Macaca fascicularis: one gene and its partners. The protein of the gene in region 1 interacts with the protein of each later gene in a pairwise test. Links are inferred from orthologs where the notes say so. Each region holds a gene or a part of one and is shown in the gene's direction. Other genes may lie near its edges. The genes, in order: GIT1, PPFIA4, ARHGEF7, HMOX2, RGS2, PFDN1 and UPF0488 protein C8orf33.

Region 1 (4,107 bases):
ATTTTTTTAAGGTGCAATTATAAATAAAGCCCATGGATCGCGATTTCAAACAAACTTGTCAATCCGGGCCGCAGCAAAAGGCGATGGAGGCAGCTTTGCATGTATTTCGGGTGGTGTGACTCATGAGAATTACTTGTCTCCCCTAGGGAAGGAGCCTGCCCACCCACAAGTCACTGCCGCTCTGGCACCGCTGGGATAAATCGACCAACTTGAGCACCCCTGCCAAAGGACTGCCCCCATCTGTTACCGAGCAGGAGTCTCTGACTTCGATAACCCCTCCTCAATTGTCACCACTGACCTGGCCCCCAGGTCTGGCCCTGGGGACCTCTGCCCTCTCCCCACAAGCAGAGTGCCCGGGCCTTTTGCTGCTGCAGGGATTGGGGGTTGGGTGCACGCGCGGCACACGTGTATGGGGGAGCATGCTCAGTGCGGGGGCTGTGCTCATGTGAGGCCTCCAACTAGGCTCCCTGCCCCCCAGCCCACCCACGTCCCTCACCTGCCTTGCCTTTGCCTGCCTCTTCGTGTGAAGTCCAGGAAGAAAGGCTGTCACCTGAAACGGCCCCTCTGTGTTATATGCACCCTTTCTGGACGCACACACCTCTGGTGGCCCAGAAACACCGTGTGTATAAGGCGGATGACAAGTGGATTTGAGTGCACACAGGCACAGTGGTCACTCCTTGGGAGGTCTTTAAAAACCGCCCAGATTCCTCTCTGGATGGAAGCATGCATGGAGAGATAGATATATTTTTAGTCCAGAGGCAGGGGAATACACTGCCTGACCTTTCTAGCACCTGGGCGTCCATATTGTTGGCAATGAGCGTATTCAGCAAGAGTGTGACACACGCACACACACCTGGACACACAGATGTGGACACCTACAGGACCGGGAGGCACACCTCACCCCAACCAGAGATAGAAGGGTACCCCAAGGCACAGCCCCTTTGACCTGGAGCGGGACTTGGGCCTCCAAGTCCTTCCTGCCTAATCCCCGCCCTCGCCATCCCTCGGCCCAGCGTCCCCCAGGCCACCCCACGCGGAAAGTGAAGGGGAGGGGGCTGTGAGGGTGACTCACATTGCCTCCGGGCCAGGCGAGCGCCGCAGCGGAGGCCAGGACCGCAGGCCCCGCTGCCCGCCGGGGCCGGGCATTAGCCGCGGCCCCTTTAAGCGCCCCCGCCCCCTCCCGCCCGCGCCCGGGCTTCCTTTCTCCAGGGGGCGCGGCCGGGAGCGCGCGGCGGGGCGGGGGTGCGGCCCCTCCCCTGGTGGGCAGGGCCTGCGCCGCTTCCTGCAGGAGCGGCCCGGAGCCGCGCAGGGGGCGGAGAGAGGAGTCGCGAGCGGCGGCGGGGCGGCGTGGGGCGGAGGGCGCCCGAGGGCGAGCGGGCAGGCGGGCACGGCGGGTTCCGGGCCAGCCCCGGGGCGGACGGTTGGCCGGGCGCGCGGAGCCTCGCCGGGGCCTCGCCGGAGCCGGGCCGGGCAGCAGGGGCCGCCGCCGCCGCCCGGGCCCGCCGCCCGCGCCCCCCACGCTGGCCCAGAGGGCTGCGGCCGCGTCGCCGCTGAGGATGTCCCGAAAGGGGCCGCGAGCGGAGGTGTGTGCGGACTGCAGCGCCCCGGGTAAGCGCGGCGGGGCCGGGGGCGGGACCGCACAGCCAGGCCGCCGCCGGGCGGGCGCCGGGGCCTGGCGAGAGCGCCGTGCGGGGCCGGAGGGCTGGGCTGGGCTGGGCTGGGCGGGGCGGGGGGCTGCGGCCTCCGGGCTCGGCCCCCGCCCCGGCCACTGCGGAGCCGCGTCCTTGGCGGGAGGGCTGTCCTGGGGGGCCCATGCTCCCTGGAGGCCGTGGACGAGCGAAGAAGGACGTTCCCGGCGCTGCCTCCCGCCCCTCGGTCTGAGGGAGGCGGGCAGCTGGCTGCCCCTCCACCTCCATCTCTATCCGACGGAAGCGCCAGCCTGGGGTGGCAGGAGGGCAGTGGCGGAGGCCGGCAGGGCTTGGGAGGTGGGGGCGAGTGTGGTTTTGTGTCATCTCAGTGCCACCCCCGCGTCTTGCACCTGCTGCTCGCGTGGTCGGCACGCCTGCCGGGGTGGTGGAGGGCAAGGAGCAGAGGGCCGGGCAGATGCGCCAGCGGGGCCTGGATACCGTCTCCTCAGGAGCAGATGAGCAGTGGCTACTCCCAGGACTCCCTGCCGCGGGTTCCTAAGGCTAGCGCTTTTTTGCGGGGCCTGGCGTTCAGGGCCAGTTCAGACCCGGGTGTCTTATCGGGAGGCATCACCAGGCCTGCTGGTGGTGACTGGGAACAGCTCGGCTGGACCCTGCTGTTCCTATTCACCGTAAGGCCCGCTTGGGAAAGTGAGCTTGGCATCAAGCTATCCTGGGCCCCGGCCCCTCCCTGTCCCCTAGCCCAGTCTGGCGAGAAATGGGTGGGAGGCACTGCCTAGATTCCCCGCATCCTGCTGGCTTCCTAGCCTGCCTCCTGGCTGTATTTACATGGTGGTTCTCTTCTTTTTCCTAACAGAGTCAGGACTGGGCTGGAGTGAAACCCCCCAGGCCTGCTGAGGAAGTCAGGGGTAATGATCCAAGAGTCTGCTCCCTTCTGATGGGGGAGGACAGCCAGTGACTGGGCTCTGCAGCTGGCCTGGGAGGGAAGCTCTAGCCCCCATCCATTCTTTCTTTAGAAAAGGAGCTATCTCCCTAGTAGGCCCCTGGGCAGGCTTCGGAGGTCTGTGAACTCTAGCGGGGCTGTGGGCATTATTAAGAGTGAGATTATGGGGTGCTGGTTTGTGGGTCCATAACTTTCAGCCACCCCTTGAGCAAGCCCAGGACCCCACAGGTTGAGCCTCACAGATGCTCTGGTGGTTCTGGGGGTGGTGCCAAGCTAGACTGTTTGGGAACTGTGACCCAGCAGGGCTTGGGCACAAGATACTCTCCTCCTTGGGGCTTTTGGTTTAGAGGGCCCTGGGGTTGAGGGTCCATACCCCTAAGAAACTATGACTCCCTTCCCCCAGCTGCAGGCAGGTCTGGGGATGGCAGGGCTGAGGACACACCTTGCCTTATAAATGTCTGCCCACTGTTCCGCACCTCCATGGGGTGAGCATGGCATGCATGTGGAGGAGAGGCTTAGCAGGCACCCTATCGGGGAAGCCTGGGGCATAGTGTTGCCTTTGTTCCCAGCTTACTCTGTAACCCCAAAAAGACTTTCCTCACTGTGGGGGCCTCAGTTTCCTTAATTAGGAGGCAAAGAAATTGGAGTAGAAATGGTTTCTGGGGGGGCTGTGATCTGATTCTGGGGTGGAGGGGTGAAGGGCAGCACCAGCAAGGCAGCAAGGCAGTTGTCCTTTCTCTGTTGCATTGAATGTCATCCAAAGCCTCTGGATGCCCAGTGGGCTCAGGGAGGAATGGTGGGCATCAGATGTGTTGGATTGCCCAGCTCCTACTCCCAGGTCCTCATCCGTCAGAGGAATTTGTGCCCCAGATGACTCTTTTCCCCTGATACACAATAGAGGTCAGGAAGGTGGTGAGAAGGTGAGGATGGTAGGGTGGGGAGGATATGGACAGTCTTACACATCAGCCCACCTAGCACCAGCGAAGTGTCCAGCACATGGCAGGCGCTCCCTGAGTGTCTGGCTTCTTGTCGGGACCCTGGCTGGCTGCTTGGGACTATCCCACACCTGGACCCTAGGATGCTGGCCCTGGCATGCAGCGACGTGTTTGGTCTGGGTCCTGTGGCATCTCAGGCAGAGAGGCATGAGGGTACCCAGCAGTCTGGAGTCCAGATCCAGTGCCAGCCCCATGGTGTATCGCTCCACCCCAGGGTCACAGCCTTCTTTTATTGTGATAGGAGCCCTGCAGTCCCAGCCACAGGAGTGGGGCCAGGGACTTTTTGTGCTTGGTTAATTTGGGGAGTCATGGAGGTCAGAGGTGAGATGCAGCCTGCTCCCAGAGAGCCCCATCCTCCCTCTGCTCCCGGGCCTGGGCACACGGGACAAGTGCGAGTGTGTTGGTAGGCAACTGGACATGGTGTGGCTGCTCTGGCAGCTTGTGCCACCTTGTCAGGCACCGTGTGCATTCCTGCCTGCCTGGGGAGTCCAAGAGAGGAAGGGGGCAGGGAGCCCTGGAGAAT
Region 2 (4,146 bases), on another chromosome or scaffold:
GTCAGTCAAGCAACATAAATTGACCCTTGAACACTGTGAGAGTTATGGATGCAGACCCTCTCACACAGTTGAAAATCTGCTATAACTTTTGACTGCCCCAAAACTCAGTAGCCTGCTGTTGACTGGAAGCCTTATTGATAACACAAACAGTTGATTAATGTGTATTTTGTATATGTAGTATATACCTTATTACAATAAAATAAGCTAGAGAAAAAAATGTTATGAAGAAAATCATAAGAGAAAATATCTTTACTGTTCATTAAGTGGGTCATCATGTTGAGCAGGCTGACGAGTAAGAAGAGGAGGGGTAGTCTTGCTGTCTCAGGGGTGGCGGGGAAGGAAGAAAATCTGCATGTAAGTGGCCCTATGCAGTTGAAGGCTGTGTTGTTCAAAGTCACCAATTTAGCTTCACTTACCACCCCTCAGATCAGAATTACCCAGATTTCCCTGTCTTCAAAGAGACGCAAGGAAATTATGCCAAATGGTGAATATATAGGGTGGAAGTTAAATGAGAGAAGGTTGTATGTGTCATTGATCTCAGCTATGGCATTTGCTGCTGATACAGAACATGCTGTGTATATGTCTATAAATACATACACGTGAACACATTGCATGTATATAGAAATTGTTCACACTTTTAGTGGTGCTTACTGGGTATTGGTAAAGGATTGAGTAGGCACACTGTGATGAAACTTCACAAAGCAGATGGAAAAGATGCATTAATAGCCACAGGGGGCAGGGTAAGGGAGCAATTCAGGAAAATGGAGAGGCTTAGCTAAAATTTGTCAGTCAGTAATTCTGGCATTTGAGACTTGTTTTCATACTATGTATATGTAATAGACAAACCATTTTGTAGTAACAGTGTTAGAACAGCCAGGTGCCTGAAGGCAAGCGACACAATTCACTGAACTGCATACTACAGATGTAGTATCTGGATATCAAGTTTCCCCACTTAAAAAACGGGTGCGATCAAAAGAAAAGCAAGTAATGGGCAGGAGAGAGCAAGTGTGAAAGGTGGCAAACTATTGACAACAATTACAAGGCCGAGACTAAGGCCAATTTAGGGAACAGGCTGTTAGACTCGGAACAGGGGCGAGTTCAGAGGGAGGGGGCAGAATGTTGGCAGCACTCCTGTGACCTGAGACCCTCCTGCAGGGTAAAACCCTGGCACTTTGCCACCTCCGAGGCTGAACCAAGATGGCGCGCAGCCTCAAAGCGGCGCTCTTGTCACGTGCCGGGACCGGAGGCGCTTGGGGGCGGGAGGCGTGGCCTCGGGCGCGGCATCCCGGCCCCGCCCAGGGGGCGGAGCCTGGGGGGTTGTCCACGGAGGAAGGGGGCGGGGCTTCGCGGCCGGGCGCTTGGGCGGCGGAGGTTGCAGCTACCTCGGCGCCGGCTCGGTTCTAGGACGTGTCGGTCTGCACCGGTCGGGGGCGGCTCCCTGCTGCCTCCGAGCCTAGCTGCCTGGCCTTCGGCATTTGCAGGCAGGTGAGCGCCCAGAGCTTGGACTGGGGTAGGATGCGTCTTTTCCCCACCTCCAACTCCCCTCGACAGTTTGGGGAGGGGTCTCGTCTATCGTGCCTCAGGAAACAGCCCTTTTTGACTCCCCATGTGCTGTCTCCGGCAGGCGTCGGTACGGCTCCCCCCCGCCGCCCCTCGCCAGCCTTTGCGGTGCCCTGTGCCCTTGGGGGTGAAGATGGGGGCGATGCCCGATCTGCGGGGAGGGTGTGGGGTGCGCCCTCTGCTCCATCGGCTTCGGGGGAGGGGGCCGAGTTGGCGAGTCTCCCGGTGGGAACGGAGCAGACTGCGCTCCCATTTCCCCTCCAGGAGAGTCAGAAAAAGCGCCTCTCGGCTCCAAGGCTAACCCCACTCCTTTGGGGACGCGCTTCTGAGGAGCTGAGGTCTTCGCTCTTCGCGGGGGTCTTAATCCTTCCCGCGTTCCTCATAGCACCCCTGTTCCTGTTGCTAGCTCTCCATTCCTCGAACTGCCAGCCTCAGTCTGTGCCAGAGATGCCCCCATCTCCGCAGTGCCAGGGCGGTGGGGTGGAAGGAGCGGCCAACCCGAGGCCTGGTGGGGGTGGCGACAGGGGTGGGCGCAACAGGAAAAGAGGGCTGGAATAGAGGTGCCTGAACTGGAGGGTGGGAGTGGGGTGCTGACTTACGTCCACGCAGTAGGGATGTTTTCTAGCACAGATTTTGAGGTTTTGATGGTGGGTGGGAAGAGAGAGGTCGGGTTGGAGGACTTGGAGACATGGTGTAGGTGGTTTTTTTTTGAGAAGGAAGAGGGATCCAGGACAAGGTGCCACTAGGCGCTGATGTCACCTTTGAGGAGAGGTGTGCTGGTAGTTTCCGTCAGAGGAGCGGAAGAGTTGAGGCCGTTCTGTGTGGAGAGCAAGTGGTTAAGGAGCCTTTGCTTAGCAGGGAGATCCCCTCCTGGTGTGCGCTTAAGGGTCCTCTCCAGGAGCCAGGTTCCGGGGATTTCCCATAGTCCTTTCCAGAGTTGTTGGATCTGGTACCTAGTACTTTGTTCAACATCCAGCAAACATTTATTGGACACCTACTATCTGCCGGATACTATGCTCGGTGCTAGGTCTTCTGAAGGCAATTTACAGCCACGGAGCAGCTGAAAGGTACACATAGTAGGCACACATAGTAGGTATTCTGTTAACACCTCCCTCACCCCCCACCCCCATTCTGTTACATTACTGTTGGATTAGGAAAAGGAAGAACTGTGTCCACGTACTTTCAAGCAGCTGTCTGAACTAGACTGTAGCCTACACACCCCCTACCACTATTAACTGGCCAGGTAGTCCCAGGGAAGCTGCCTAAGCAAAAGGGCAGCTTGAATGATTTTCCTTGGTTATTTTCTCAGATTTTGTCCTGAGGTTTGAGGAGGCTTCCTGGGATAAATGGTATCTCCAAGTAAGGAGATAGTGAATGACAAAATGGTTATTGGGGGCCAAGAATGTCCTAGACACTCTGCGTTGTGGGAGACGCCATCTCTGGAAGATGGAAGAGTGTGGGGGAGGAGGGCGTGGAAGGGAATTCTTATCCAGTGGGGTTGGGGTTTGTGCTGCTGAGCATGTCATGATGTCAGAACTGTGCAGTGCATGAGGTCTGGCTGCTGGGCTGTAAAGGAGGGCTGGAGGGGCAGGGCATGGCAGGCAGCCAGGCTCCTGGGTCTTGTCTCTGAGTTGATTGCTGAAATCTTAAGAGTTGAAAAGAGTTGTCAGGGATGGCTTGTAGTTCCTCATGGAGCCTCCGAGGATGGCAGAGCTAGAGCTAGGCAAGAGAATGAGTAGTCAGGCTGTGGTGGTGATGAGGTGGGGATGAAGGCTCAGCAGGGCCAGGGAGCTGGGTGCTAAGGGGGTTTTAAGATACGGGCGGCTAGCCGAGGCCTTCGAATGCCAAGGACATTCTCCCCTGGGCTTTAGGCCCTACTGTGTTGGCTCCATAGGTGAGTTGCTGTAGAAACAAGGCATGGCAATTGAGTGGTATGGAGGAGTGTGTGTGCGTGTATGTGCACACGTGCATGTGTGTGCACATGCGTGAGTGTGTGTGCTTGTGCTTGTGTTGGAGAGGAGAAGTGGTGGGGAGCAGGGAGGATTGAGGGAGTGAAAACTGCCTCAAAGTCTGGGTCCCACATAGGGAATTGAGAGAAATGGAGGGGAGGGAGTGGGGTCAGAGGGAGGGACAAGTGTGTATTGCAGCCACATGAAGTCACCATCTGTCCCCCTCTGGCCTGCTAGCTCACTGACCTATAATTAGCTCTGGAGGGCATACGGTGCTGGCTCACAGGAGCGTGGCACTTCGGGTGGCCAGCAGAGTGGAGGATTCAGAGGGACCAAGGTCCTCGATGTACTGTGGAAGGGGCTGCTTCTAGGGGACCCTCTGCATTTGCTGTACTGGGAGGGGCCTGAGGCAACTGAGAATGTCACAGGGACAGCGCTGGTGGGGGAAACAGCAGTGGGGGAAGGAGCTCTAAGCGAGGATGGCAGGAGACTCCAGGGCTGGGCTGAGCCTGAGGCCTCCCCGCTTGTTGCCTGGCTGCTGGCACAAGAAGCACGATTGCTGCCCAGCTCATTGCTCTGCTTTCAGAGAGGCTCGGGTGCTGCAACCTCAGGGCCTCCTTCAGGTATCTCCATCCCC
Region 3 (3,500 bases), on another chromosome or scaffold:
GACCACCTACAGAAGCAAACGAAGGTCACATCTGTGGGAAACCCCACCATAAAGCCTCATTCGGTGCCGTCTCATACCGTAAGGACCTGGCGCTTCTTCTCCTTCCAGACTCCAGGCGTGGCATCCCGTGGCTGAGCTGTCAGCAAGTGATCACGTGCTTTAAAACCTGATCAATATTGGGATAAAAATGCAAACGCTTGCTTGATATTTCTCTGAAAATATTTGGCCCTCTTTGTGCAGTAGTGAATTGTTTTCCAATGAGTGTTCTCGAGAAACAACCCTGAATTGTGCCTCCTCACGCACAATTCAGAGGTGCTTGGGTGGGAAGCTGCTTTTGCTCAGCGTGGCCTTAGAAGACTAATTTAGGGGAGTTTTACACTAAACTATAGATGATTTTTCTGAGAATTTTAACTGTTTATTATGCTTCATTTAAGAAAACGAAAATAAATGATTATGATGATGAAAAGGGCCAGATTCATGTTGAAGGCATTAAAATAGAGTTTATGACACACTGTTGATTTTAAGAAATTGAGGTGTCTTTTACTTAGAAAAGCTCAGCAACTCTTTGAATTTTTAGAGAATTACAACTTTTCAAAATAGATGAACACTGAATTCGGTTGCAGTGTTTAAACCTCTCCTGGTGTTTTTTGCTCAAGAAGTTGGTATCGGGTTGTTTTAACAGTCGTCATCTTTATCAAGTAATACCGAAAAACTGGGCAGAGCTTTTAAAGAATGAGTGGCGATGACACGGCATTTTCAGCTTGCAGATTCCCTCACATCCTTACTAGGTTATTAGGATCAGTTCTGTCGTGTGCTCAGTTTTCATGTTTTCTTCTTCATGGGAAGGTTGTAGATCAAGAAGGATTGCTGTATTCTGATATTCTCATCAGTTTCAGAGTCCATCTGATTTCTCTCAGCAGTGTGCAGATAACTACTCATTGGCTTTTAGCTAGCATTTCATCTTTAATGGCTCTGCCGTTTTAAAATTCTCCATTCTTTCGTGGAGATCAGTTTATCCCAGCGACATGTGTACACGTGTGTTTATAAAGAACAGTGGATGAGCTGCTTCACTCAGATTTTCAACAGCAGCCTGAAACTCTACTTCATACAATTTTACATCAAGTCAGCTTTTCTCTGCGGCCAGACCCTCCGTCTTAGTGTTTCTTTCACTGGTGGCGGGGAAGGCACTGTGCCTCATGTTTAAAATGTTCTGCGTTCTCCTACAGAGTTTCTTTTGTGGGATGATGTATTCTCCTGTGATCTAACTCTGTCCAACTGAAGTCATATTCTAATTTTAGCATAAAGCATACTTCCTTTGACTTTCTCAAGAAAGGAGAAACAAAACCAGACACTACTTAACTCTGACGTTGTTGCTAGGAGGGATGTCTTACATAATTTTCTCCATCTATACATTATTTCCTATGAAAAGATGACGTTACGGTGGCTTCATAGCATGACCTGTATCTCACACGATTCCCTCCCCCATGCAGGGACTAGAATGTGATCATTGCAGAAAGTTGATGGCGTCTGTTCTTGAAATTGTGGCATTAGCTGCTGTGGGGCCTTCCCTCTCAGCCTGTTTTGAAGGTCGTGTACTTCAGAATGCCGACCCCACTCAGGTTTCCAGTTCACAGCGCCACACAGCTTGTTCTCCCATTAAACGCGCCTTACTATTGTTGGCTAATTTGAAGTCATTGTTGGCTGATTTTGAGACTTACTTAACTTTTCTCATTTAACTGTCATTGTGATGGGATATTTCGGGTTTCCCAGGAATATAAAATTCATTAATGACATACCTCCTCTAAGAAGTTAATTTTCAATTAACTTTGTTTTGATTAAAGTTGAGTTTTCTAAGAAAATAACTGATTTTATACCAGGGTTTGGCAGTGTTCTAGAAAGAGCCAGATGGTAAACATTCTCTGCTTTACAGGCTCAGGCCTCTTGCAGCTGTACTCTGCCCTTGTAACACAGCAGCAGCTTTAGACAGGCACGGGCCTGCTTGTGTGCCAGGAAAACTTTTTTAAAAAACAAAACTAGGCGATTGGGCCTTAGTTTCACCCAGTACTTCATCACCAGGTGAAGAATAATACGTGACCGGGGGGAATCACCTTCCTTCTTACAGCCACATGCCCTGTGTGCTTTTGTGAAATTCTCATCTTTTTACTAGATAAAGTACCTTTTTTTCTGTTAATGTTACTCCGTAGCTAATAAATGTGGCTAGTGGATGTCCGAGTGCTGGGGCGCCAGCTAGAGCTGCCCCTCCCGTCTGGGGCAGACACCGTGGGGGGGTCCCATGCTCAGCCCAGGTGGCGCGAGCTGGTGCTTGGCCCCAAAAACTACTGAGAGCCAGAGATTCGAACGAAATGATAAATGATAAATCCTGGGGTTTATTTCACATGGAGTGTTTAAAGAGCGGAAGGAAGTGCGTGATAGTGCCCTTTCACGGTGAGCATGCAAGTCTCACGTTCTCTGCCCTTCCCGCTCTGTGCCCTCGGCAGCTGCCCTCCCACCCGGTCACTCCGTCCAGCAAGCACGCAGACAGCAAGCCCGCGCCGCTGACGCCCGCCTACCACACGCTCCCCCACCCCTCCCACCACGGCACCCCGCACACCACCATCAACTGGGGACCCCTGGAGCCTCCGAAAACACCCAAGCCCTGGAGCCTGAGCTGCCTGCGGCCCGCGCCTCCCCTCCGGCCCTCCGCTGCCCTCTGCTACAAGGAGGTGAGGTCCCTTGACCACTCAAACAGCCAGACGCCGGTGAGCATGCCTTGGGCCCCGAGTGTGCCGGGCTGGTCCCTCTGTACGCAGCAAAATGCACCCTAACTGCTAGAGAACTGAGAAGGGGTCTGCCTTGGTTCTTCGGTTATCTCCGCTGCTGCTGAGAGGCCTGTGGTAACCCTGTGTGGGAAGGGGATGTGCAGATGTGCAGGGCCCCTCCTGTCTGTGCCATGCAGAGGGGGCCTTTACTGTGCTTGCCGGAGGAATGTGCCGCCGGGGGCCAGGAGCTGGAAAGGCGCCGAGCCCAGGTGACTTTCCCTCCCCGTGTGTGAGGCCGTCGCTCGGCGTCTGCATGCTGTCTGCTGCGTCTAACAACCCCTCCTCTAGGTCGGGGATCCTATCCAGGAGCCCTGCGTTTTGTCATCCAGAAGCCATTTGAAAGGAAGAGAACGTTTACCAATACAAATGAAAAAACACTTAGGCAGTTTCCCCCTTTGATGCATAAGAAATCATGATACAGTCTTTGCTTGTCTGTGTTTTGATCCAGCATTTTTGTATTTGCTAGGTGCAAATAAAGTACGATTCTAATGAATAAATATAAGTATTAACACTTTCTTATACTTTCCCCTAAGCCAGCTTGGATGAGGAAAGGAAGCGTCTTGAGAAATGTGTTCTGAGAAATATTTTCACCTGAGGAAGCCGATAATTGAGATGAGCGTTGTTTTCATAAGCAGTTGAGCGTGCATGGTGGTGAGGTACGAGGAGTGGCGGTGCGAGTAT
Region 4 (4,259 bases), on another chromosome or scaffold:
ACCCCGTCTCTACTAAAAAAAATACAAAAAATTAGCCGGGCGTGGTGGCAGGCGCCTGTAATCCCAGCTACTCAGGAGGCTGAGGCAGGAGAATTGCTTGAACCGGGGAGGAGGCTGCAGTAAGCCAAGATTGCGCCATTGCACTCCAGCCTGGGCGACAGCCTGAGACTCCATCTCATAAAAAAAAAAAAAAAAAAAAAATACAGCAGTCAGCCATTGCGTCCTATCTGAGCTATGTATTCATATTCATATCTCTGGTGACTTTTTTTTTTGGAAAAGACATATCCTCACTCTGTTGCCCAGGCTGGAGTAAGGTGGCACCATCACAGCTCATTGCAGCCTAGGAACTTCTAGGCTCAAGCAGTCCTCCCACCTCAGCCTCCCAAGTGGCTGGGACTATAGGCACACACCACCACCTCAGACTGATGTTTACATTTTTTTGTAGAGACGGGGTCTTCCTATGTTGCCCAGGCTGGTCTTGTACTCCTGCACTCGAGCAATCCTCTTGCCTCTGCCTACCATAGTGCTGGGATTACAAAAAGTAAAAAATTCCCTGGCGTGGTGGTGCATGCCTTCAGTCCAAGTTACTTGGAAGGCTGAGGCAGGAGGATGGCTTGAGCACAGGAGTTCCTGGCTGCAGAGAACTCTGATTGCACCATTACACTCCAGCTTGGGCGACACAACCAGACCCTGTCTCAAAAAAAAAAAAAAAAAAAGTCCAGACATGGTGGTTCACGCCTGTAATCCCAGCACTTTGGGAGGCCAAGGCGGGTGGATCACCTGAGTTCAGGAGTTCAAGACCAGCCTGGCCAACATGGTGAAACCCCGTCTCTATTAAAAATACAAAAATTAGCCGGGCGTGGTGGCACGCGCCTGTAATCCCAGCTATTCGGGAGGTTGAGGAGGAGAATCGCTTGAACCCGGGGGAAAGGGGTTGCAATGAGCCGAGATCACGCCATTGCACTCCAGCCTGGGTGACAAGAGCAAAACTCCATCTCCAAAAAAAAAAAAAAAAATCATTCTGTCATTCTGGCTGCTGTTAGAAGAATGCCCATAATGCAACAGGGAGATCAGATACAAGACTGGTAACCGATGTGTCGGAGTTGAGACTCAGTTTCGCAGATTGCATTGGCAAGTGAGCAAGTGGGTGGTGCCACGATTGACAACCCTATTTCTTACATCACTGAGCGGATGTAAAAGGATTAAACCACACTGGGGAAGAAAAGTGCTCAGCCCTGAGGCACCCTCACACACCTCGGCTCTTGTGAACACTAGCGTTCCTGCCGAAGCACCCCTACTTACCCTGCTGAGCAGAGCCTGAGCCTGCAGCCTTCAGACACCTGGAGAAAGCCACATGCTCCGCCTCCCGCCCCCCGCAAGGGCGTGTCAGCTACAAGGGGCGTGTCCTCCCTAGGCCCCGCCCCGCGCTGCGTGCCAACGTTGCACCGGCCTTCGCGCCAGTCCGCTGGGCTGCGGGGACTGCGGCGCCTGAGGGAGTCGCTGACGGGCAAGCTGAGTGGAGGCTGGCTGACGGGCCACAGCGACCTGCGGCAGGTGAGCTGTCTGCGCCCTCCCGGGGCCTTCCTTCCGCCCGGCTCCTCGGACTGCGCCGCGTCCTTCGCGGGCACTGCCTCGGTGCAGGCCTTCGTACCTGGGCTCAACCAGGCCACAGCCCTCTGCGTCCCCGGCGCGGGTCTGAGGGGAGAGCGGGCAGGCCGGAAGCTGAGTGAGGCCGGGCAGAAGGACGAAGACGAGCGTGGAGGGGCTGTCAGGGGAGGGCGAAACCCCGGACGCCGCTCTCTAAAATCGTCTCCCCGGGGGCGCGGGGAGGCCTGAGCGGCTTGCTTTGGCGTCCCCGTTGGGCCCACCGCCTCCCAGCGTCACGGCCGTGCTGGGCGAGGTGACCCCCGGGGTCGTAGCTGGGGACGTCGGCGGTGCTGACAGGGGATGCCGGCAGAGATTGGAGCCCGGCTTAGCGGCTTCCCGGGCTATTGGCACTGGCCGGGTCTCTGCCCTTCCTCCAGTGCCCTTATCTCTATAGGAAGTGCCCCTTGAGTGGGTGTCGTGACTTCACGAGTGAACCCTGGTACAGCTTGGAGCAGAGTCGGACTGGGAGGGATCAAGTGTGGGGGTAGCCGGTTAGTCCGGACATGGGTTTACCTGTCACCTTCTGAGCGCAGTGCTCTGGGTGCATTAATTACCCTGCAGAAGCTGCCAGGACCTCCTTGCAGTCTTTGCACGAGGCCTGCCTGTGTCATGCCATTTAAATCGCGTCTGGGCCGGGGCGGTGGCTCACGCCTGTAATTCCAGCACTTTGGGAGGCCGGGCCTGGCGGATTGCTTGAGGTCAGGAGTCCGAGATCAGACTGGTCAACATGGTGAAACTCCGTCCCTACTAAAAATACAAAAATTAGCCTGAGGTGTTGGGGCATGCCTGTAATCCCAGCTACTCGGGAGGCTGAGGCAGGAATCCCTTGAACCTGGGAGGCAGAGCCTGGGCGACAGAGCGAGACTCCATCTCAAAAAAAGAAAAAAAAGCACTGCATAATACTTTCCACTGGAGGAAGCCCTCTCCTCTCAGCCCCTTGCAAAGCCTTGCGAGCTGATCATTTTTCCACGTGTAAAACGAGGTCAGTGTTAAGACTCAGCTTAGGCTGGGCAGGGTGGCTCACGCCTGTAATCCCAGCACTTTGGGAGGCCGATGTAGGCGGATCACCTGAGGTCAGGACTTAGAGACCAGCCTGGTCAACATGATGAAACCCCGTCTCTACTAAAAATACAAAGAATTAAATGGGCAGGGTGGCGCGTGCCTGTAATCCCAGCTACTGGGGAGGTTGATTTTGAAGGATCACTTGAGCCCAGGAAGTGGAGGTTGCAGTGAGCTGAGATCGCATCACTGCACTCCAGCTTGGGTGACAGAGTGAGACCCTGTCTCAAAAAAGAAAAAATAAATATCACAAGACAAAATTTGTGCTTACCAGGAGTTCACAGTTAAATAAGACATATAAAAGCTTACTTGGTAAAATTAGAAAAAGTTATCAGAGACAACATTTAGGTTTAAACGCTGGTGAGGGTGTGGGAATTTGTAGAGCCTTGGAAACACACACACTCATTGAATGACCTCATCTAAATGGGGATGTGAAGAGGGAAATCCTGTGATTCCTCCATTGTCTGACTTGATTTCCTTTTTTCCTTTGCTGTGGCAACATTTTGAAATGCTGTGAGTCACCAAAAGGGGGAACATGAGCAACTCTAGAAATGCCAGTGCCAATGAGTTACAGACAATAAAGCATTGACTGCCTTTAGCTCACCCCCATCAAATCTGTTGAAAACTTGTAAAATTGGACAGCTAGAGCTACTTTGATTTTTTGGTTTCCTTTTAACAGCTGACTCTCTTCACAGGACATTTGGGCTCTACATCAGGATTGCACCCAAAACTGGAATATCACTCCTCCAGGAGGGTGATATACTTTGAAAATTAGAATTGTGGGTCCAGCGCAGTGGCTCACGCCTGTAATCCCAGCACTTTGGGAGGCCGAGGTGGGTGGATCGCCTGAGGTCAGGAGATAGAGGCCAGCCTGACCAACATGGAGAAATCCTGTCTCTACTAAAAAAAAAAAAAAAAAAAAAAAAAATTAGCTGGGCATGGTGGCACGTGCCTATAATCTGAGCTACTTGAGAGGCTGAGGCAGGAGAATCACTTGAACCTGTGAGGCGGAGGTTGCGGTGAGCTGAGATCCGGCCACTGCACTCCAGCCTGGGCGACAGAGCGAGACTCTGTCTCAAAAAAAAAAAAAAAAAAAAAAATTAGAATTGTGTATTTCAGTGTAAAATTTGAAATTCAGCTTCTAAGTCCTTGGAGAGAAAACAGATTAAAAACTTGACCTAGACTGGGTGCGGTGGCTCACGCCTGTAATCCCAGCACTTTGGGAGACCGAGGCGGGTGGATCACCTGAAGTCAGGAGTTCGAGACCAGCCTGGCTAACATGTTGAAACCCCGTCTCCACTAAAAATACAAAAATTAGCCTTGCAATTTCGAGACCAGCCTGGCTAACATGGTGAAACCCTGTCTCTACTAAAAATACGAAAATTAGCCTTGCAAAAAGTAGCCTGTAATCCCAGCTACTCGGGAGACTGAGGAAGGAAAATTGCTTGCAGCCAGGAGGCAGAGGTTGCAGTGAGCTGAGATCGTGCCATTGCACTCCAGCCTGGGCGACGAGCGAAACTTCGTCTCAAAGAAAAAAAAAAATTATATTAGCG
Region 5 (3,958 bases), on another chromosome or scaffold:
GGTAATCTATTTGTTTTTACCAATCAAGTCGTTTTAAAACCTTCAGGAGTAGAGATGATACTTGAAGAATTAACAAAAAACTTAATGAAGGAAACTGTTAACTCCTCCTTCCCCCTACTTTTTGCCAGTTATTAAAAGTTCTGGTAAATCCTAACTCAAAACAAGAATGACTCATGAGGAAATCCTGACTCCTTGAACTCATGATTCTAGTGCATTACAGCTCTGAAATATCTGTGTCTCCAGCTTTCTCTCCCACCATAAGGAAACTTGTGATTTCCATTTTGGCAGATGTGACCAAGGGCTCCTGAGGAATGACCCTATAGACAGACCCAGCCACTTGCCTAGTAGTGATCAAAAATGCAAATCCAATTAAAGCACTGTCTTCTGATAAAGTCACCTTCTCTTGTTCAATCCCTAATGTTCATTCCCAACGTGTTTCAAGACGCCCCAGCAAGCTGCAGAGCAGGTCCCACCCTGCCCCCGGGCAGTCAACGTTTCAGGTTACACCTTCCTTAAATTAAGTGGCAGAGAGAAACGGGGGAGGGTCTTCCCGTAGCCTCAGTTCATTGACCAGGGTGTGTCGAATGAGTCCCTACAGTAGGACAGCAAACAAGAAATGAGGCGCGGGGTCAGGGAACGCGCTCAAAAAAAGAAGAAAAATCCCACTCTTCATTCAAAATCAGGCCACTGAACTCCGGCCTCGCGGCGGGCGACCTCCTCCTGCCAGGGAATCGCCGCTCTGGCCTGGGGCTGGGGAGCCCGTCAGGGTGGGTGGGTGAGGGAGCGACGTAGCCTCCGCCAGGCCGCAGCCAACTTCGGCTCTCTCCCTCCGCCGCAAGCCCCCGCCTGGCCGCCACGCTTCAGCAAAAGGTCGTGGGCAACAGCCCACACTGAAAAGTCCCTGTCTGCTCGCACGCCGGCCCCAGCTGGCCGCTGCTATGTAGTCCGAGTGCGCAAGAAGCCCGGGCCGCAGACGTCAGCAGCGCCCTGGCTTCCAGACCCTTCGGCGTTAACCGAGACTGCCGCTGGCGGGCGCTGACCCCCATCCCAGTGCCCGTTTGCAACCAACCAATCCGCGTCCTCTTGAGGCGGGGCCGGAGCCGCGAAGCCCCGCCCCCAAGTCGCGGCTTCTTATAAAAGCTGCGACGCACGCCCAGCAGCCAACAGCCGCGGCCCCAGCGGAAGGACGATAATGCAAAGTGCTATGTTCTTGGCTGTTCAACACGACTGCAGACCTATGGACACTAGCGCTGGCAGCGGCCACAAGAGCGAGGAGAAGCGGGAAAAGATGAAACGGACCCTGTGAGTATGGCTTTCTTCCCTCTCCCGCCACCCCTGCCACACACTGCGAGCTGCAAACGCGGTACTTTGGGCTCGGCTTTGATGTTAGGAAACTAGCCCGAGCCTCTGCAGGGGAAAAAAAAAATCGAAAAGGTCAGTTTGTTAAGGTTAAATCTGGGTGATGCTCGGGTAGAGTTTAGGAACCGAGGGAGATAGTTGATATGAGGGCGGTGGTGGATGCGCTAAGAAATTGCGGGTTGGCTTTTTGTCCTCCTGCATTCAAAATGACATCAGAATCCTGCGGCTGAAGCGCGTCCCCAGCATGCATACGTTGCATGATGAGTTCTCATCAGCTTACACAGCTCCTGGAAGGAGATGCTCTTGCTGGTTGTGAATATACTCGTTTAAAATCCACTTTTGTTTTTTAATTATAGAGCAGATCTCATCCAGTCATGAATGTGGAACAAATAATTGTTCTGCAGCGTCTGCTTAAAAGAAGTGTTGTAGGTGGGGAAGGAAGAGCGCAGGGGAATCAGTCACCCACCTCCTTGTACACTGTCTCTGGCATGCTCCAGAACCTCTTGCTCTAAAGAGAGAAGCGTGGGCCGGCTCCAGACAGTTCCACGTCTGTCCTTTTCATTAAATTGTAAAACCCCTCGGAATTGTAATTAACCTTGCAAACAAACTGATGCCCTTTGTAAGCCAGAAATAATATCTGCCTTTTGAACTAAATTCATTAACAATTCTTTAAAATACCCTAGTGATTGTAGGTAGCCCTGCCCTTAGTTGTAAAACTAGTAGATACGATCAGTTTAATGGATGAAACTGCTCAGTACATGAGGTTTAAATGTTAAGTGGATAAGACTGTTATTTGAAGAGTTCTTGCTTTGCCTTATGCGGTTTGTCTCTAGTTACTGGGTGACTTTATTTGGTAAAAATGCGTTCAGCTGCAGTAGCATATTCAAGTGTTGCTACTTAGTGATTATCTTTTTTAAATTTTTTTGTTTGTTTTAGTTTAAAAGATTGGAAGACCCGTTTGAGCTACTTCTTGCAAAATTCCTCTACTCCTGGGAAACCCAAAACCGGCAAAAAAAGCAAACAACAAGCTTTCATCAAGTAAGTTGAGAATCCTGTACTTGCAAATGTTAATAGTTAGTTGCTGAACTGAAAAGGGGAACTCTGATGTGCATAAGCTAACATGCAGAACCTCTCTTGCAGACCTTCTCCTGAGGAAGCACAGCTGTGGTCAGAAGCATTTGACGAGCTGCTAGCTAGCAAATGTAAGTTAACTCTTGAACTTTAGCCATTGCTAATATTGCAAAAGCCTGCAAAGGCTGGGTCCACACAACAAAAGAGCAGCTTGCCTGAGGGGGATTAGACTGCAGTCACTATTGGATAAAGCCTGTTTTTCTCTCCTTTATTTCCCAGGGTTTAACCATGGAAATAAATGCATGTATTTCCTCCAGGTGGGGAAGAAAATCAGCCTAAAAAAATTAAAGTGGCAGTTGCTTATAGTTAAGGTTGAGTCAGTTTTTCCATTGCATACAATGTTTTCAAGAGGCTTAGTTCCCAGAGAATTTATGTCTCCCCTATAAATATTTACTTTGCATTGACAGCAAAGTACTTATATTTTTGCAGCAGAGGGCCAACATAAGCATTTTGCCTACTGGTATCTTCGTCTTTAAAAAGCTAAATTTTGAGAATTACAGGTTTAAGCGAAATCTAGAAAATTGCTGTCATTTAGAAATAATTAAAATGTGAGGGAGAAGTACTAGGAGAAACATAAAGAATCATTTGGTCACTCGGTTCTTCACATTCTGCATGCTTTCTTTTCTCCCCCCTTCAGATGGTCTTGCTGCATTCAGGGCTTTTTTAAAGTCGGAATTCTGTGAAGAAAATATTGAATTCTGGCTGGCCTGTGAAGACTTCAAAAAAACCAAATCACCCCAAAAATTGTCCTCAAAAGCAAGGAAAATATATACTGATTTTATAGAAAAGGAAGCTCCAAAAGAGGTAAGGAAACAAGTTCCTAAACTGAGCACAATCTGGACATTTTTAGCACAAAAGTGAAACAAAATAAGGGCAAAGTGGGGCCAGAAGGAGGGGTAAAAAGTCCCCCCACGTTGTAGCTTTCAGTTATGTTAAAGTTCTTCTGTGACTTAGGTAGTAAAGCTAATCACACATAATTTTTATTTTTTGTTTTCAAATACTAAATTTTAATCTTTAACTCTGAACACCAAATAAACAACTTTTTTGTTTTATTTCAGATAAACATAGATTTTCAAACCAAAACTCTGATTGCCCAGAATATACAAGAAGCTACAAGTGGCTGCTTCACAACTGCCCAGAAAAGGGTATACAGCTTGATGGAGAACAACTCTTATCCCCGTTTCTTGGAGTCAGAATTCTACCAGGACTTGTGTAAAAAGCCTCAAATCACCACAGAGCCTCATGCTACATGAAATGTAAAAGGGAGCCCAGAAATGGAGGACATTTCATTCTTTTTCCTAAGGGGAAAGACTGACCTGCCATAAAGACTGACCTTGAATTCAGCCTGGGTGTTCAGGAAACATCGCTCAGAACTATTGATTCAAAGCTGGGTAGTGAATCAGGAAGCCAGTAACTGACTAGGAGAAGCTGGTATCAGAACAGCTTCTCTCACTGTGTACAGAACGCA
Region 6 (4,047 bases), on another chromosome or scaffold:
CCTGTCTCTACGAAAAATCCAAAAATTAGCTGGGTGTGGGTGGCGCGTGCCTGCAGTCCCAGCTACTCAGGAGGCTGAGGTGGGAGGATTGCTTGAGCACGGGAGGTAGAGGCTGGAGTGAGCGGCGATTGCACCACCGCACTCTAGCCTGGGTGACAAAGCAAGATCCTGTCTCAAAAAACAAACAAACAAGCAAACGTACCAAAAAACAAAACAAAAAACCAAAACCACAAAATATCCAAGTGACTTGCTCAAAGTCACACAATTAGTAAATGGAACCAGACATAAGCTAAAGGTGGACCAAGCCTTGAATCTGGATCAGGCTGGTTCCAAATTCCCTGCCCTTTCATCTCCCTAACAGTTTGTTTTGTTTCTCTCTCTTTCTCTTTCTTTTTCTTTCTTTCTTTCACTCTCTTTTTAAAAAAAAAATAAAATAAATTTCCTAATTGTTTATGTAGCACTTTCTCTTAGCATAACAGTTTTTAGAGTAGGTAAACATTTCTTTTTTTCCATTTCCAAAAGTCAATTATTATCTATTCTTCTGGTTCAAATGCCAGGTCCTTTTATGGCAGAGATTCTCAAAAAAGTGATCCGCAGAGGAGTTGCACCATTAGCTCACTGGGAGAGTTTGCAAAAGTGCAAATTTCCAGACCCCATTCTCAAAGATTCTGAGTAAGTTTGAGATGAGACCCAGAGAACCTGCATTTTTTTTTTTTTTAAACAAACGTATTCAGCCTCTCTTTTGAACCACTGTGCCTAGAAAGTCTTTGGGAAGCTTTTGGAAGTAGTAAGTTCGTCTTGGAAAGAACACTCCAGACAAGCTTTCCGGTAGTCTTTCCCAAACTGTCATGCCTGAGGTTCTGGACTTATTCTTACTGATCCCTGACAGCACAGCGACTAGCTGAAGGATTCTGATCGACTGATGAGGGTTTGACCTCATCTACATACATCCCAGTTTAGCAGCATATACTAAGCTAGCTGGCAAACTGCTTAAAGCCACATGGGAAATCTGCGCGTTGGGCTATGTCTGGAAGATGTGGAGGAGCAAGCCAGACCTGACCGGTCAGATAGTGGAGACACTGAATCCGAAACCCAAATATTTCAGGGGTTAATCAATTCTCATAGAAAGGTAGGAAGCCCGGTTAGTCCAACTCATGCGCAGGCGCAGAAGAAGGACGGATGCACAAAGTGAGGCGCGCCCTTCCCCCACCCTCTTTCAGGCCAACTCCCACTGCGCAGGCGCATACAGTGCACCAACATGGCTGCCCCCGTGGATCTTGAGTTGAAGAAGGTAAAGGAGGGTCTTGGGCAGGCGGAGGCCTTCTCTTTGGAGGCTGAGGGGACTATAGGCAAGAATATCGAGTGAGGCACGAGCCTTGCATAAGGCAGGAGGGTCCAGTGGACTAGGGAATGGTTTTCCAGAGTCCTAAGGCCGCACTGCGTCTCCGTAAACTGGGGTGGGGGGCGAGCGGCTCTTGCTGGGTAGGAGCCGGTTTGGGTGAGGTAAGTCTGCGGGCCTATCTCGGGCCTGTGCAGTCTTTCTGAGCTCTAGAGAGCTTTCGTTGCGTTTGGAGGCTTCAGGGACTCACTTTCATAGTAAGAACCAAAGAGAGCATTTCAAATGGGGGTGCCTTCGGACCCCTTGCCTGAGTTGTGGCATCCGTAATTCTGCCTCATTTGCTTTGAAAAACTCCAAGTCCAACCTTTGTTTTTAGGCCGTTTATTCGGTTCTATACCTTGAAAGGTTGCGGTATCTACAGTTCGGAAAACCAGGCATTGTAACAGCAATGTTCATTTCAAGATTTGGGCCCTCCCCTTCTTTTTAAGGACTTGTCAAAAAAAACAAACAAACAAACAAACAAAACAAAACCTTCTTTTGAAGGACTTGTCAAAAAAACAACAAAACCAGTAAAGTTTTCCAAATAAAACCGGTATCAGAAGGAATTGGGTTTCCTGCTTTCCTCAGTTGCTTATAATGTGTTGTTACTCATATTTTTGCTGTCTAAGAATGATCAGCATTCTAACACCACTAATGACCCCAAACCAGTATGCTTTGTGCGGTGGGGTGGATTGGAAAGGACTCTAGAATTTATCTATTTTAAATCTACTTTTCTAGAAAAGGAACCAGTGCTAGAAGAGTCTGTCAGAGGTTGGGACTAGAATCCAGTATTCTCTGTCTTACCTCACACCTTTTTTGTTTTTTTTTTTTTTTTTTGAGACAGAGTCTCGCTAGTGGCGCAGGCTGGAGTGCAGTGGCGCGATCTCGGCTCACTGCAAGCTCCGCCTCCCGGGTTCATGCCATTCTCCTGCTTCAGCCTCCAGAGTAGCTGGGACTACAGGCGCCCGCCACCTCGCCCGGCTAATTTTTTGTATTTTTGGTAGAGACGGGGTTTCACCGTGTTAGCCAGGATGGTCTCGATCTCCTGACCTCGTGATCTGCCCGCCTCGGCTTCCCAAAGTGTTGGGATTACAGGCGTAAGCCACCGCGCCCGGCTACCTCACACTTTTTTGACCACTATTTTGGATTCTTCAGATGAGCAACATCTTAGTTAAGACTGTCTCTCTGGTCAACTTGTGCAAAAGAAATAGGACAGCCGAAATAGCTGTTGCTTCTAACAAATGAAGCTTTTGTTATGGTTCTGAGGATATTATGTGTTTGTGTCTTGCTTTTGTTCTTGTCTTGAATCTTGTAAATTTAGCTCTTAGGTGGAATTCCCTCATCTTTAACGGTGTACTAGCTCATCTTTAACGGTATACTAGCTTCCTTAGCAAGCTGTACAGAGCAGTCAGATAATACCTGAAATTTTACATTTCAAAACAAAATTGTGCATTCTAAAAATTTACCTTTTTTTAAATTAAAAGTACCGATTTAAATCAGGATTTAGTGAATGGATTTTCCTCCTGGTACTTTTGAATTTGTTGCTACATTTGAAAAATGTGGACAGTGAATGCAAACTAAGAAAATGATTACAAACTTAAACTGAATAATTTTGACAAATGATTAATTTAAAAACTTGTTTAAAGGTTTTATCTTCTAATGTTGTTACAGGGTCCGTTTTTTGGGTGGAGACAAATAGGACATTTCAGGCCCCTCCCCTTCTCCAAAGTAAATCTTTCAAAATCTTACTAGTAGGTGAAAACAAGGTCACAATAAAAATTATGTAGTAACCTTTGCTGTACATTGCAGTCACAAATTATTAAGGCACCAATTTGACAGCATATGAAAGTCATTCCAGGCACTTCAACAAGAGTATCCAAGAACTGTTTATTTTCCAGTTAACTAAGTGTACGCAAGGGTCAAATTTGGCCTGATGCAATTATTTTGCCAGTGCTTTGCATTTTTTCTATCTTTTTGGTCTTCCTCTTAAAAATGTTCATATTATGAATATTACTATAGACAGTGGAATGGAAAGATTGCTAAACTAAGGGGTTAGAAGAAATGTCTTTAAATACACCTCCCTTTCCCTCTAATAGTTGTTCAAACTTGTGCAAGCCACTTTTATCTCTTAACTCATTTAGTTACTTAATTTGTAAATTGTGGATGATGAAACTGCCAATGCTAACTCATGGCATTATTGAGAGGCATAAATTAGATATTATATTTCCTCATTAATATTCTTATATTAATATTCCCATATTAATATTTCAAACTAATGTGAGAAAGTGCTTTGAAACCTAATTGTGCAATACAAATGTAGTGAGTTATTACTTTTATGGTTCTTGTTTTGAATCTCTGGGTTTCATCCTTGACTATTGCGTTTATTTCTTTTACTACTCCTTGAATACTTCTTAATATGGTTATTATTTAATGTGCATTTGTTTTGCTTCACACTGTTTGTATCTTCTGATGATTGTAAATTCAGTATTTAGTATAGTGACTTGATCGTTTACAATTATGTTGACTTATTGATATTTGGTAAATTTCACAACTTTGTCTCTGGCTAGCATGTTTTGTTTTAATATATTTGGATTTGACATAAATGTTTCCTGTAAAATGTTTAACCTACTAAATCATGGACTTGTTTTTATTAGGCCTTCACAGAGCTT
Region 7 (3,782 bases), on another chromosome or scaffold:
TCCTGGCCTAGCCCGCTCCTGAAGCCTCACTCAGTCTCACCTCAGCCCCTACGCAATTCCTCTCAGTTGTCAGGCCTCCATCGGCGGGGGTCGAGTGTTGTGTGTGACCCCAGGTCTCCAGCAAGGTATAGTGGGAGGGAAGCATCCGGGAGAAGAGAGGTGGATTGGCCTCTCCCTCTCCCCCATACCGCCACCCTCCCTCACGCCCATATCCTGTCCAAGGCTCTTCCCGCGTCTGCTTCTGAAATCCCTCCACATCCCTCCACCCCATGTGCCCTACTCGTTGCACAGGAGCAGAGAGAACCGCAGAACACACGTCTACGATTATGCCACTCTTCAGATTTACATCTTGCAGCAACTTCCCACTGCGTTAGAACGGAAGTAAACCTCCCAACTCACAGACCTCACCCGAGCCCCCACGTCCCGCGTCGCCGGCCTCTCAACCGACGGTGCCCTGATCCTCTCGGAGCGAGCGCCGCGGGCTGCGCCGGGTCCCAGGCCTGCGCCTCTTCCCCATTTCCCAGGGGTCTTTGCCGACCACCCTCCTGCGCCACAGCTGCTCAAGTTCTGTTTACTTGCTTTTCCCTCCCCACCAAAAGGTGAGCCTTGAGAAGACACACCCTTGTGTAGAGCTTTGAACTTTTATCCGGAAAGGTGCCGGGCACATAGTCGGTGCCCGGGAGCACTTGCGAGACCGCCCTGCAGCCTCTTTCCGGATCCCCCAGGCACCCCCGACCCCGGCCTCGCCCCACCCTGCCCTCGCCCCAGCCCCGCCCTGCCCTCGCCCCAGCCCCCGCCCCAGCCCCGCCCCGACCCTGTCTCAGCTTCGCCTGGGCTTCATCCCGCCCCAGCCTCGCCCAGCCCCTCCTCTCCTCTCCCCGCCCGTCCCCTTCCCGCCCCCGCCCCGCCTCGCCTAGCCCCGCCCCAGCCCCGTCCCAGCTTCGCCTGAGCCAGGTCCCAGCCCCGTCCCACCTTCGCCGCGCCCCAGCTTCATCCCGCCCCAGCCTCGCCCCTTCCCCTCAGGGCCCCCGCGCCCCGCCCCGCCCCGCCCCGCCCGCGACCCTGCGGAACCTAGAGTCGCAGGCGCCCTCTTGGAGGACGGAATTCGACGTCGGACTCCGCCTCGCGTAGTTCCGGTGGCGACTGCGGAGCATGGCGGTGAGCGGTGTGGAGAAGACGCGCGGGTGGCTGGGCGTCGCACTGTCGGTGGCCCTCCGTGACCCTCGTGCTGCCCCCCTTTCTCCAGGCCCTAGGACATCTTGCCGGGGAGGCAGCGGCGGCCCCAGGCCCGGGTACTCCCTGCGCGTCCCGCAGACACCGGCTTCCCGGCCTGGTTTCCAGCGTCCGGAATCCCTCCACTGTCTGTCTCTGCCCAGGGCAACCCACGAGCAGTAACGCCGACCCCAGAGCGCACCCGTTAGGCGATGAAGGCAGTGCAGCGTCGAAAAAACAAAAGAATAAGAAGAAAACCCGGAACAGGGCCTCTGTGGCAAATGGAGGCGAGAAGGCCTCAGAGAAACCCGCCCCAGAAGAAGTGCCCCTAAGCGCTGAGGCCCAGGCAAGGGCGGGCGTCAGTCAGGAAGGGTGGAATCCCCTAGTGCGAATCCACGGGCACATGTGATCTGGGGTCCGCAGAGTTAAGGCGGGGAGGGGGATGGGATGGGGCCAGGCGCTGTTTTGTGTCCCAGTGCCCTCTCACAGCCACTTCCCCAAATCCGTCACAGGCGCAGCAGTTGGCCCAGGAATTGGCTTGGTGTGTGGAACAACTGGAGCTTGGCCTCAAGAGGCAGAAACCCACCCCAAAACAGAGTAAGGGACCTTTCTATAGAGTTGGGGAATGTGAAGAGTGGCACCGCCTGGCCTGCAGGTGCTGGCAGAGGTGAAGTTGTTTCCTTTGCGGTGGGGCGGTAGGAGGTCAGTAGTAGAGGTTTTCACTAGTCCTTTGTTTTTATTCGCAGAAGAGCAGGCTATTGGAGCAATCCGAACCCTGCGCAGCAAAAGAACGCCCCTGCCCCGGAAGAGGCAGTTGATGCACTCCTTGTTTGGAGACTATAGGGCTCAGATGGAAGCCGAATGGCGTGAGGCCCTGCGGGCTCTCAGATCTGGTGAGGAGCTAGTAACTGGTTGATTTAGGAAGGCCTAATTTAAGGAGGAAGTGCCTAGGGGGTGAAAGGAAGAAGGCCCAGAGCAACAAGGCTGGTGGGGGAAGGAGATGAGCTCAGGGAAGCCTGAGGGAACAGGGAAAGAGCAAGGATGGACCTGTCTCTCCTTTTCCCAGGACTGAACCTGGGAAGCAGCGGGGAGGTCATGGGAGGAGCGGGAAAGAGTGTGACCCTGTGTTGGTCCTGCTCCTGGCTTGGGGAAAGCTGCGTTATGTTTTTGTGTCTTGGCTCTCTCTACTGGCAACGAAGCCATATCCCATAACAGTTTGAGTGCAATTCCTGGAGCCAGATGAGCTAGGTTCAAATCCTGGATCTACCACATAGTAGTACTAACACCTTTTGCAAACTACTGAACCTCTCTAAATGGGCGGTGATAGTAATATCAACCTTACAAATTTGAGGAATTAGTTAATTTATTCAAAGTGGTTAGAATTGTATGGGCAAACATAACTGTACAGGTAATGTTAGCTGTTGTTATTCAGTTCTCACATACGCTGCTTCTCTCCCCTGACAGCTGCTTATTTAGCCCAGGTGCAGCCTGTAGATGGAGCCACCAGAAAGAAGAGCCGAAGGGTCTGCAGGCCTCGCCCTATAGGGCGAAGCAAAGCCACTCTGGACACTCCTGATGAAGAGTTTCGGTTCAATTTCTTTTAGCTTCTCCCCCGACCTGGAACATTCCCCCTCCCTTGGGGTGGTGTAGGGGTTTGTTTTGAGTGCAGAGCCTTTTCAGGACTTCTGTTGGCAGAGAACCCTGGGGTTGGTCTGTCCCTGGCTGGTCCAAGTATTTAGAGCTGTTGTGAAGGTGTGAGACCATCAGATAGGCAAAAGACCCCATTTGTTTTGTGATGAAATGTTCTCTCTTTCAGAACAGAGAGAGGTGCATTTAGAAAATATACAATAAATTGAAGTGACTGTTTGAAGTATTGTAGAAAGAATATTGTACTCAGTCTTTAGGATTAGATTAAGTGGCTGTTGGTAACAAAGATTAGTGGAGAAGCTATATAATTATACACTGTTTTTCACTTTTGAAAGGAATTCCTGTCAAATGGTTTAGTGCTTAATGCTGTTATGTCACATTGCCCTAGTCTTTATTTTTGATAAAATTGGATAACGAGTGAAAGAGTGTGCTGACCACCTGTGTTAGAGGAAGTACAGAAGACGGCAGGGGTCTGGTTCCCTGGGTCCAGTCCCTTGCCTCGATCCTTTGTCCATGTTGCCTTCATTCCTGAGCAGGTGTCATCCTCAGGGAACCAGCATGGCAGCCACCAGGCATGGCTGTCTTCTCAGGAGGAAGGAGCTTCTTGCCCTAACAGTTCTGGCCTGAGACCTGGATTGAGCCTCGGCATGTTGGAACCGAACTGTCGATTCCCTCCTGGGCAGGGGTTGCCGCGAAGGATTACCGACACGAGATTCACAGCAGAGAGTTATTTATTACTAGCGCGCTAGGGTCCCAAGCTCTAAGTTGGCCCTGGGACCCCGACTGCTTGTTACAGGTTGTTTATATAGGCAAACACAAGTTTAAACACAGCTTATGGCGTGAAATTTAAACAAAGCTTAAGGCACAAAATGATTGGGTCTACCTATGGCCTGAGCAAGGTGTTTTATGCTAATTGGTTAGAG

Evidence for each region.
Region 2: the proteins of GIT1 (region 1) and PPFIA4 interact in a two-hybrid assay, tested with the Homo sapiens proteins (2 studies listed by BioGRID). The link is inferred for Macaca fascicularis from reciprocal best matches to the Homo sapiens genes GIT1 and PPFIA4.
Region 3: the proteins of GIT1 (region 1) and ARHGEF7 interact in binary tests that used the Homo sapiens proteins (3 or more experiments, as listed by UniProt). The link is inferred for Macaca fascicularis from reciprocal best matches to the Homo sapiens genes GIT1 and ARHGEF7.
Region 4: the proteins of GIT1 (region 1) and HMOX2 interact in a two-hybrid assay, tested with the Homo sapiens proteins (2 studies listed by BioGRID and IntAct). The link is inferred for Macaca fascicularis from reciprocal best matches to the Homo sapiens genes GIT1 and HMOX2.
Region 5: the proteins of GIT1 (region 1) and RGS2 interact in a two-hybrid assay, tested with the Homo sapiens proteins (2 studies listed by BioGRID and IntAct). The link is inferred for Macaca fascicularis from reciprocal best matches to the Homo sapiens genes GIT1 and RGS2.
Region 6: the proteins of GIT1 (region 1) and PFDN1 interact in binary tests that used the Homo sapiens proteins (3 or more experiments, as listed by UniProt). The link is inferred for Macaca fascicularis from reciprocal best matches to the Homo sapiens genes GIT1 and PFDN1.
Region 7: the proteins of GIT1 (region 1) and UPF0488 protein C8orf33 interact in a two-hybrid assay, tested with the Homo sapiens proteins (2 studies listed by BioGRID and IntAct). The link is inferred for Macaca fascicularis from reciprocal best matches to the Homo sapiens genes GIT1 and C8orf33.

The regions. Positions count from the first base shown.
Region 1 is NC_088390.1:35,093,513-35,097,619, reverse strand, and holds the start of GIT1 (ARF GTPase-activating protein GIT1), read left to right. Parts: upstream 1-1,307; 5' UTR 1,308-1,556; coding exon 1,557-1,608; intron 1,609-4,107. UniProt on the Homo sapiens protein: GTPase-activating protein for ADP ribosylation factor family members, including ARF1.
Region 2 is NC_088375.1:60,837,525-60,841,670, forward strand, and holds the start of PPFIA4 (liprin-alpha-4), read left to right. Parts: upstream 1-1,346; 5' UTR 1,347-1,485; intron 1,486-4,146. UniProt on the Homo sapiens protein: May regulate the disassembly of focal adhesions. May localize receptor-like tyrosine phosphatases type 2A at specific sites on the plasma membrane, possibly regulating their interaction with the extracellular environment and their association with substrates.
Region 3 is NC_088391.1:101,803,508-101,807,007, forward strand, and holds part of ARHGEF7 (rho guanine nucleotide exchange factor 7), read left to right. Parts: coding exon 1-78; intron 79-2,498; coding exon 2,499-2,723; intron 2,724-3,352; exon of another isoform or gene 3,353-3,475; intron 3,476-3,500. UniProt on the Homo sapiens protein: Acts as a RAC1 guanine nucleotide exchange factor (GEF) and can induce membrane ruffling. Functions in cell migration, attachment and cell spreading. Promotes targeting of RAC1 to focal adhesions. May function as a positive regulator of apoptosis.
Region 4 is NC_088394.1:5,289,478-5,293,736, forward strand, and holds the start of HMOX2 (heme oxygenase 2), read left to right. Parts: upstream 1-1,459; 5' UTR 1,460-1,554; intron 1,555-4,259.
Region 5 is NC_088375.1:50,401,426-50,405,383, forward strand, and holds the start of RGS2 (regulator of G-protein signaling 2), read left to right. Parts: upstream 1-1,158; 5' UTR 1,159-1,192; coding exon 1,193-1,302; intron 1,303-2,295; coding exon 2,296-2,397; intron 2,398-2,499; coding exon 2,500-2,561; intron 2,562-3,127; coding exon 3,128-3,294; intron 3,295-3,548; coding exon 3,549-3,743; 3' UTR 3,744-3,958. UniProt on the Homo sapiens protein: Regulates G protein-coupled receptor signaling cascades. Inhibits signal transduction by increasing the GTPase activity of G protein alpha subunits, thereby driving them into their inactive GDP-bound form.
Region 6 is NC_088380.1:146,792,533-146,796,579, reverse strand, and holds the start of PFDN1 (prefoldin subunit 1), read left to right. Parts: upstream 1-1,247; 5' UTR 1,248-1,258; coding exon 1,259-1,291; intron 1,292-4,032; coding exon 4,033-4,047. UniProt on the Homo sapiens protein: Binds specifically to cytosolic chaperonin (c-CPN) and transfers target proteins to it. Binds to nascent polypeptide chain and promotes folding in an environment in which there are many competing pathways for nonnative proteins.
Region 7 is NC_088382.1:154,739,316-154,743,097, forward strand, and holds UPF0488 protein C8orf33, read left to right. Parts: upstream 1-1,129; 5' UTR 1,130-1,152; coding exon 1,153-1,158; intron 1,159-1,246; coding exon 1,247-1,558; intron 1,559-1,724; coding exon 1,725-1,809; exon of another isoform or gene 1,810-1,879; intron 1,880-1,958; coding exon 1,959-2,105; intron 2,106-2,676; coding exon 2,677-2,816; 3' UTR 2,817-3,282; downstream 3,283-3,782.